Linked DNA regions of Oryctolagus cuniculus. The protein of the gene in region 1 interacts with the protein of each later gene in a biochemical or structural test. Links are inferred from orthologs where the notes say so. Each region holds a gene or a part of one and is shown on either strand. Other genes may lie near its edges.

Region 1 (4,184 bases):
CTGTGTCAAATATACATTGGGCTTTACTTAGTATAGAGCAACAAAAAGGAAAAATATCTTAATATTTTTATAGTGATTATGTGTTAAAGTGATAATATTTGGGTTAAGTAAAATGTTCAGCTAAGTCAATTTCATCTTTTTACTCTTTACTATTCACAGTTTAATATATATAATTTATTTTACTTTCAAAAAATTTTTATTCATTTTATTTGAAAAGTAAAGAGACAGAGATCTCCCATCTGTTGGTTCACTCTCTAAATGCCCATAATAATCAGGGCCAGGCCAGGCTTAAGCCAGGAGCCAAGAACCAATCTGGGTCTCCCATGTGGGAGGCAGACACCCATTTTCAGCCAACTTGAGCCATCATCTACTGCCTCATAGTTTTTAGATCACACTACTTTTCAAAATATTACATTTTTAGTGCCCTGAATATATATATATATATATATAGAGAGAGAGAGAGAGAGATTTGGAAATTTATTTATCTGAAAGGCAGTGGTGAGGGTGGGGAATCTTCCCCAAATGCCCACAACAGCTTCAGGAGCTTTTACAAACCAATGTTTGCCCAGACTACACCCAGACCAATTAAACCCCTACCGTTTGCAATCAAGTTTGAAATGCACGGTGGGTTCTGTGTACTACCTGGCTTCATATTCCAGCCCAGCCACTTCCTAGCCATGCCAACCTGGACAAGATATTTAATGTCTCTGGACTCCATCACGGAGGATGATGACGAGATTTAAATAAGATGATCCACTGAAGCCACTTCAAGGAGGGCAGGCATGGAACAAGTTCTGCAGCAGGCATCGCTGATGAGAGCAGCTTTCTGGTTTCACATTAACTCCCCTGGAAGAGGTTCTCCCAACTGACATCATTCACCCAGTGGGGTTGTTGTATTATCCTAGTACACACCCACAGGCACACACTCACACAAAGGGAGTATGCACACCTGTCTGACCCTCCTCACCCCCTGGGCAACTTCTGTTGTGTGTCTGTTTCCCTACTCAGAAAACAAAGCGTCTTGAGCAGGGAGATGCTCATCAGACAAGAGACAGACTAACGTGACTCAGACCGGCCAGCCCCAGCACCCAGAACCCAGAGCCGCGGGTTGGAAACACTGCTGGGCACCAGCGTTGAAACCCTGCGTGCCGGTCTTTGCTTTGCACTTATTAAAGGTTTCGCAATAGGGAGCAGCCCGTTCGTCCTGCAGTGTGTGTCCTGCCGCACCAGGCCAGGCAGTCAGGAAACAGGGCCGAGAGCGCCCACCAGGGGGCAGCAGGCCGCGGCCTACGGCGCCGCCGCGCGCGACGTCAGGGCGGAGGCCCCGCCCCGTGGTCGTGACCGTGGGCGGCGCGGGGACAGCGTCCGGCGCGGCGGGAACGCGTCGAGCCGCGCCATGGGGGCCGAGGCCGCGGAGGCCCGGCCGGCGCTGCGGGAGCTGGTGCGCGAAGCCGAGACCAGCCTGCTGGAGTGCAAGGTGTGCTTTGAGAGGTTCGGCCACCGTCAGCAGCGGCGGCCGCGCAACCTGCCCTGTGGCCACGTGGTCTGCCTGGCCTGCGTGGCCGCGCTGGCGCACCCGCGGACGCTGGCCCTCGAGTGCCCCTTCTGCCGGCGAGCCTGCCGCGGCTGCGACACGAGCGACTGCCTGCCGGTGCTGCACTTGCTGGAGCTGCTGGGCTCCGCGCTGCGCCCGTCGCCAGCTGCCCAGCGCGCCGGCCCCAGTGCGCCAGGGGCCCTCAGCTGCCACCAAGCCTTCGGGGGCTGGGGGACGCTGGTCAACCCCACCGGGCTGGCGCTGTGCCCCAAGACGGGGCGGGTCGTGGTAGTGCACGACGGCAAGAGGCGGGTCAAGATCTTTGACTCCGCGGGAGGGTGCGCGCATCAGTTTGGGGAGAAAGGGGACGCTGCCCAGGATGTCAAGTACCCCTTGGATGTCACCGTCACCAACGACTGCTACGTGGTTGTCACCGACGCCGGCGACCGCGCCATCAAAGTGTTCGACTTTTTTGGCCAGATCAAGCTGGTGCTCGGGGGCCAGTTCTCCTTGCCCTGGGGCGTGGAGACCACCCCGCAGAACGGCGTCCTGGTCACTGACGCCGAGGCAGGGTCCCTGCACCTCCTGCAAATCGACTTTGCCGAGGGGCTCCTCCGCGGATCGCAGCTCTTGCAGGCGTCTCTGTGCAGCCCTCGCGGGGTGGCCGTGTCCTGGCTCACCGGGGCCGTGGCCGTGCTGGAGCGGCTGGCCGGCAGCGCCAGGGTGAAGGTGTTCAGTTCCAGGATGCAGCTCCTCAGCCAGGTGGACACCTTTGGGCTGAGCCTCTTCCACCCTCCCCGGATAGTCGCCTCGGCCGTGACCTTTGATCACCAGGGGAATGTGGTCGTCACAGAGACCTCTGGTCCCGCTGTCCTGTGCCTAGGAAAACCCGAGGAGTTCCCAGTCGTGAAGCCCATGATCAGTCACGGGCTTGGCCACCCCGTGGCGCTGGCCTTCACCAAGGAGAATTCGCTTCTCGTGCTGGACTCTGCATCCCACTCTGTCAACGTTTATAAAGCTGACTGGGGCTGAGGGGGTGTCGGGATCCCGGAGCTGCCGCGAGTGATCTGCCTAACCCTGCATAAGTCCCCTCTTCTCATCCAGGCACGCAGGGAAAATTGTAACTGCCTGGCAGGCTCAGAAAAGTTGGGGGCAATTATAAGGAGTAATTAAATCTACCATTTATTGAATGCTTACTCCCCAGTGCTGAGAAATTTGTGACTATTGGATCATTTAATCCGGGATGCCCGGTGAGGTAATGTCTAAAACTCATCCTATCTCAGAGATGAGAAAACTGAGACCCAGAGAGCTTAAATGACTTCCCCAAGGTCACAGTTACCTAGGGGACAGTCAGAGTTTGGCCTCAATCCTGGTTTCAAAACCCCTTGCTCTTAAATAATAGATGTGAGTAGATATGGTTGCTAAGCGTGTTTGCTCTACAAGTAGCTAAGTAGTTAGATGCACAAAGAAAGGAGACTTTGTAGAGTTCAGGAGAAAAAGGATTTTGTGATGGGCATCAGCGTGTCAACTTGCAGTCCCTCTGACGGAATAGAGGTATGTGAGCAGGAAAAACAGCAGACCGTGTCTTTTAGTGCCTGTCTCTCCCCTGTAGGCACTCAGGAAACGCACTGTTGTCTGGTTGAGAAAGGCTTGTGTTGGTGGAGACAGTGCCAGAGGGTGGGCCGAAACTCCCGTTCTCTCGTTCACCACGATAGGTTCATGGCAGAAGTGATTTGCTGGCCATTTTATCATCAGTGGGCATCGGAAGCACGTTGCAATGGGGGCTTTTCTCTGTGCAATTTAAATTTCATCTCTGCCTTGCAAACATTGTGTACTCAATGAACAGTTCCCCTAATCCTTTTAGGCCCCTGGTAAACACTTAAATACTTCTTCAGTTGAAGTGTAGCCTTGACCAAGCTAATACCAGCTTAATGTTGAGACTGAGTAAATGAATGGGTGGAAATTGCAAGGGAAGAGGCGGGTTCTTTCTAGGGTGTGTGTTTTTAGCTAGCGCAAACATCTTAGAGTTTAGGGCTAGACGAATAGTAGCAAAGAACCAGCACCTCAACAGCAGCAGAAGTGGTTTCTCAGGGAGGGAATCATTTCTCAGTGAGAGTTTGCTCTAGGTGAAAGCTGATGATTCTCAACAAAGCAATATTCCGTTTATACGGAGTTTTAATAGCTATGTACATGCTAGAGACAGTTTCCAAATTATGAGTCATGTATGTTCCAAAGATTGTAATTCTGTCTTTTGGAGCTAAAAGTGAGAGCATGCTCCCATGCCAGTCCCAAAAGCCCATTTTGCCTTCAGTGTTCCTGTCATGTATTACTAATGGTAAGACGTCAGCCACGTTGGCCCACCGTTTGTGAATGTATTCCAAGGAGGAGTTTCAGGGGCAGATCAATCCTACACACACCCCTGTGAAGTTACCCTTAGGTTGATGGCATCACAGATACTCTGAGGAAAAGCTGGAGATGTAAGTTCAGATTTGATAGGACAACCAAGAATTGATCTTAAAACATTTTCCTTAGGAACACTGATATTACAGAGTCTCAGGGTCAGTTGAGTCAGTTCAAGAGATATTCTCTTTGGAATTAGCAATGACAGCATCTGTAACTAGTTAGTTGGCCCTCCATACCTAGGGGTGGG
Region 2 (4,315 bases), about 120 Mb from region 1:
GAATTAGGAGATTGAGCCAGATAGTGCACCCGGATACTCAAAATGTGGGATGCAGGCATCTCAACGGGCATCTTAACTGCTAGGCCAAAGCCCACCCTTACTTTTGCTCTAAATGTAACATACCTACCATACCTACAATGGTTAGGAAAAATAAGTAAAGAAAATTCAAGGTCTTAGAAAGTGTTGGTCAAGGTTGCCCCTATCCGCATTCTCTATTCTCTACTAAGTGTGGATGACCTAGCTCTATTTAAGCTCTTTTTTTTTTTTTTTTTTTTCTCCAAACTCTTGGGAGTTTCAAATCACTCCTTGCAGCCAGCACTCCTTTATTACTAAGGGTTGAGGTATCAGGACTTCTACCATTTTTGAAAAAAGGTATTAACTATCCAACCATTCAAGTTAGTCCCAGACCCAGGAGGATCTTTTTACTTCTGAAAGAAGCTCTAAACTGGTGTCTCTGACCTGGAGGTCCTTTCATTTGCCTTGGCCCTCTAGTTTCTGTAGGTAAAGTCAATTTATGTTACTGCTTAAGAAAACAAAGGCTTGAATGATCTGTTGAGAATTTCTCCACTGAGATGTAAGGAGAATAGGTGTGGATCTTACAATGATGGGCATTGGAAGTATGATGGAAAGACAAGTCAATTCTTTTGAAAGGGCATATGCTTATCTATAATTTCATATCTGGAACATTTAAACGTTATTTTAATAGCATAAATTCAATGACAGAAGTGTGGCTAAACAGGCTATTGGGGATATACCGAAGAGGCACTACTTCTCTATGGTGGGATGAGCGGGATGTGGAATCATTGGAATCTACTGGAGATAGATTTGTATATGTAACAAGAAGGGACATGAATTTTTTAAATAGTTGAGAAATGCTGTGGGATTTTGGACAAAGACTTAGGACAGCTTGTGTCCTATTTCTTTAGATTCCCAGCAAGGTTTCAATTTTCCAGCCCAGAAAAATGTTATCTATAACATGCAAAAGTCTCTCAGTTGTACTGAAACTTTTTCTGGAAGGTTTTTGTTTGTTTTAAGCTGCAAAATGAAAAATAATAAATGTGACAATTGAATTCTTAAATCTGTTTTGTTAAGTGGTAAACTAATACTTACAATAGTCTCTGAACCATTTGGATAAAATGTGGATTACATCAGTGAGCGTGTATCTACATACACAATAATATAAGGGAAGATTTATGACAACTCAGGAGCTAGTGAAAGATTGCTTCAGAAAACATAAATCAGCAAAGATTCAAGCCATAGCTTTTCCTAAGGGGGCTTTGAAAGAATTTACATTTGAATTGGATCCTAAAACTCTAAGTTTAAATTTATCACACATTCTTCAAGAAATACTGTAGTTATATAGAAGACAGCACTATAGAAATGAAATGAAATGATACAAGTTTTCTTTGGTCTTTTAAAAATTACTGTCAGAATTGTTATTCTATTGAGATGATTTTTACTCAGCTCATCCCCATAGCATCAAGTATCAGAACTCAGATAAATTATACAAGTAATTCTTTTTAATAATTACCATAATATTTTTGTAATATAAAAAGAAATATCAAATGAAGAACCCAACAAGGAAAAAGATATGGGAATAACATACTTTTTTAACTGGTAAATTTCTTCATCTTGGCCTTTCTTTCTTTCTTTCTTCTTCTTCTTCTTTTTTTTTTTTTTTTTTGACAGGCAGAGTGGACAGTGAGAGAGAGAGACAGAGAGAAAGGTCTTCCTTTGCCATTGGTTCACCCTCCAATGGCCTCCGCGGCCGGCGTGCTGCAGCCGGCGCACTGCGCTGATCCGAAGCCAGGAGCCAGATGCTTTTCCTGGTCTCCCATGCAGGTGTAGGGCCCAAGCACTTGTGCCATCCTCCACTGCCCTCCCTGGCCACAGCAGAGAGCTGGACTGGAAGAGGGGCAACCGGGACAGAATCCTGGGCCTCAACCGGAGTAGAATCTGGTGTGCCGGTGCCGCAGGCGGAGGATTAGCCTATTGAGCTGTGGCGCCAGCCCATCTTGGCTTTTCCATCTGTTTCTGTTGCCTATAGGATTTGTGTATAACAGCATAAAAATTACAATTTCCTACGGCACGAGATCAAATAACCTCTAAATATCAATATATTTATGCCTTTATAGATTCCTCATGATTCACCTGACCATCATTCCTAAGCATAAAATCAGTTACAGGAAATAATTACACGTAGTTCACTTTTTATTAAGAGCTGATAGAGTATAACATTTAAATATGCTGGGACTTAAATGCATTATGTATATTACATATACACAATGAATCACATATCTTTTAATATGCATTAACAGGATACACAGGATATTATTATAGGATAAACAGATACCTTTTAGAACCTGGCTCTTTTCCTTCCTTGCTGTGAGATGTTTACTGAACCTAATGTGCCTCCTTCTCTTCACATCTAGAAGGGGAATAATAATTATAGTTACCTCATAGGATTGGTAAGATAATTAAATGAGATAACATGAATATGAAAACCATGTGTCTGGCACACAGGAAGGGCTCAATTGCAATCATTAAGGCTTATGTTTCCAAATGATTGATGGTCAAAGTGCAATTGAGGTTTTTAAATATGTCTTTTACCCCATATTCTTTCTATTTCCATCTTACTTGGTGCACAACATAGTTATCAAACTTGTACCCTGTTAAGCTTTTGCCATAAAATAAGTTTTAGCTTATCTTGTTTAGGGGTTCAAAGGGTGCTTATTGTAATGGTTAAAATTATTCAATCTCTTTATGAAGACAGAAAAGTAAATAATATCTGAGGTGGATGTTTGGTCTGGTTTTTAAGATGCCACAGATGCAGGCAGCAGAGTAGAATGTGAAAGTTCTAAACTGTTAGCTCCCAGGTCCTTAAGAAATAAGATCAATTAAAGTCTGAATTCCATTGTGGACAAGAAGTATTCTTGGCCAGATGAGTATTATTTTCCTAAAATTATTCTAAAAATATTTTATTACAGTCGTTTGAATAAACTGACTCACATGCCATTGTGAGTTAATGTCTGTTTTGCTACTGAATCAGCCCTAGTTGGCCAGCCTTGCTGCCTTCACATTTTTCTTGATGTTTATCCTTAAGCTTAGCAACCAACCAAACTTTGAGTGAAGTACCAATGTTTAAAGAGTGAAGCGTATTATTAATTTACTAACGGTCCCACAGAGACTGAGTTTGTGCAGTTTACAATTTTTGTACTTCTATTTTATTATGAATGCCTGAGATTTTGGCTTTTTCGTTACTATTCACAAGCTTCCAAACACTGGCAAAAATGGGTCTGTGTGTGCTTTTAATTCACTTAAGAGATCTGTGTTATGTTAAATGTTGGTGACTACACAAATTTTAAGAACATGAGAAAAACTTCATTAAAAAATGTAACAAAATGTAAACAGGATATTTAGCTTATGTCAGTGACAGACTGAAGTATCCTCTTCCCCCAAAGACGTCAGTACAGTATTTTTCTTCTGGTCAATTAGTTATAAACTTGTTTCTTGACTCGAAAATTTTTTAAGTTTAAAAAAATAGTAACCTAGACTAAATTTAAACAAATGGTCTTATTTTTACGCTGTTTCAAAAAAATCATGGAAAGTATACATTAAAATCTCTGAATTATAGTTTTTTTTTTTAGACTTGAAGGGGACTTGGAAGTATTTACTTCAAACACATTGAGAACGCGTTGAATTCACACTGAAAACAAAACACAAATACAGTGTTTTTCAAGGGAGAAAGTGATTATCTTATCAGGCGTCGGACTGCAGAGCAAGGGCAAGGCATAAAACGATCTTTTCTCAGCTCATGGTCTTGCGCTCATTCGTTGCAGAACCCTCAGAGGTGGCAGGTCTTCAGACAGGACGATTCGCTTACACCTGCAGATCACAAAGCACCCGGGATCCAGAGGGAAGAAGTGACTTGGCTAAGACCCGAGGCCGCTACCCAGAGGCCATTCCATTCTTCATGACTCTCCTAGAGATCATTTCCAGGCTCCTGTCCAGATGACTGGACAATCGCGCGGCTTAGGCTTCGTCTCCCTGTTTCCAAGCCTCGTTTTCTCGTCCCTGCTGCCGTCCGAGCAGGCGTTCTAGGTAGGCGCCCACGAGCAGAACCCGGTGGTGCTGCAACAGGCCGCCCCAGAGGCAGGCACAGGCCTAGATGCGGCCCGGGCTCCGGCGCCGCGTGATAAAGCCCAAAATAGGTGCAGACCCACACGTGTCCCCGCCGGCGCCCGGGCCTCCGCTCCAACGCCCAATCGCTGCGGCCGCCTGGCGCTCGGGCCGCGTGGGCCGGCGCTCGGAGACC

Evidence for each region.
Region 2: the proteins of NHLRC1 (region 1) and EPM2A form a complex in vitro, tested with the Homo sapiens proteins (3 studies listed by BioGRID, with this or other methods). The link is inferred for Oryctolagus cuniculus from reciprocal best matches to the Homo sapiens genes NHLRC1 and EPM2A.

Annotation. Positions count from the first base shown.
Region 1 is NC_091436.1:145,322,312-145,326,495, reverse strand, and holds the start of NHLRC1 (E3 ubiquitin-protein ligase NHLRC1), read left to right. Parts: upstream 1-1,337; 5' UTR 1,338-1,396; coding exon 1,397-2,566; 3' UTR 2,567-4,184. UniProt on the Homo sapiens protein: E3 ubiquitin-protein ligase. Together with the phosphatase EPM2A/laforin, appears to be involved in the clearance of toxic polyglucosan and protein aggregates via multiple pathways.
Region 2 is NC_091436.1:22,624,585-22,628,899, forward strand, and holds the start of EPM2A (laforin), read left to right. Parts: upstream 1-1,503; 5' UTR 1,504-4,315. UniProt on the Homo sapiens protein: Plays an important role in preventing glycogen hyperphosphorylation and the formation of insoluble aggregates, via its activity as glycogen phosphatase, and by promoting the ubiquitination of proteins involved in glycogen metabolism via its interaction with the E3 ubiquitin ligase NHLRC1/malin.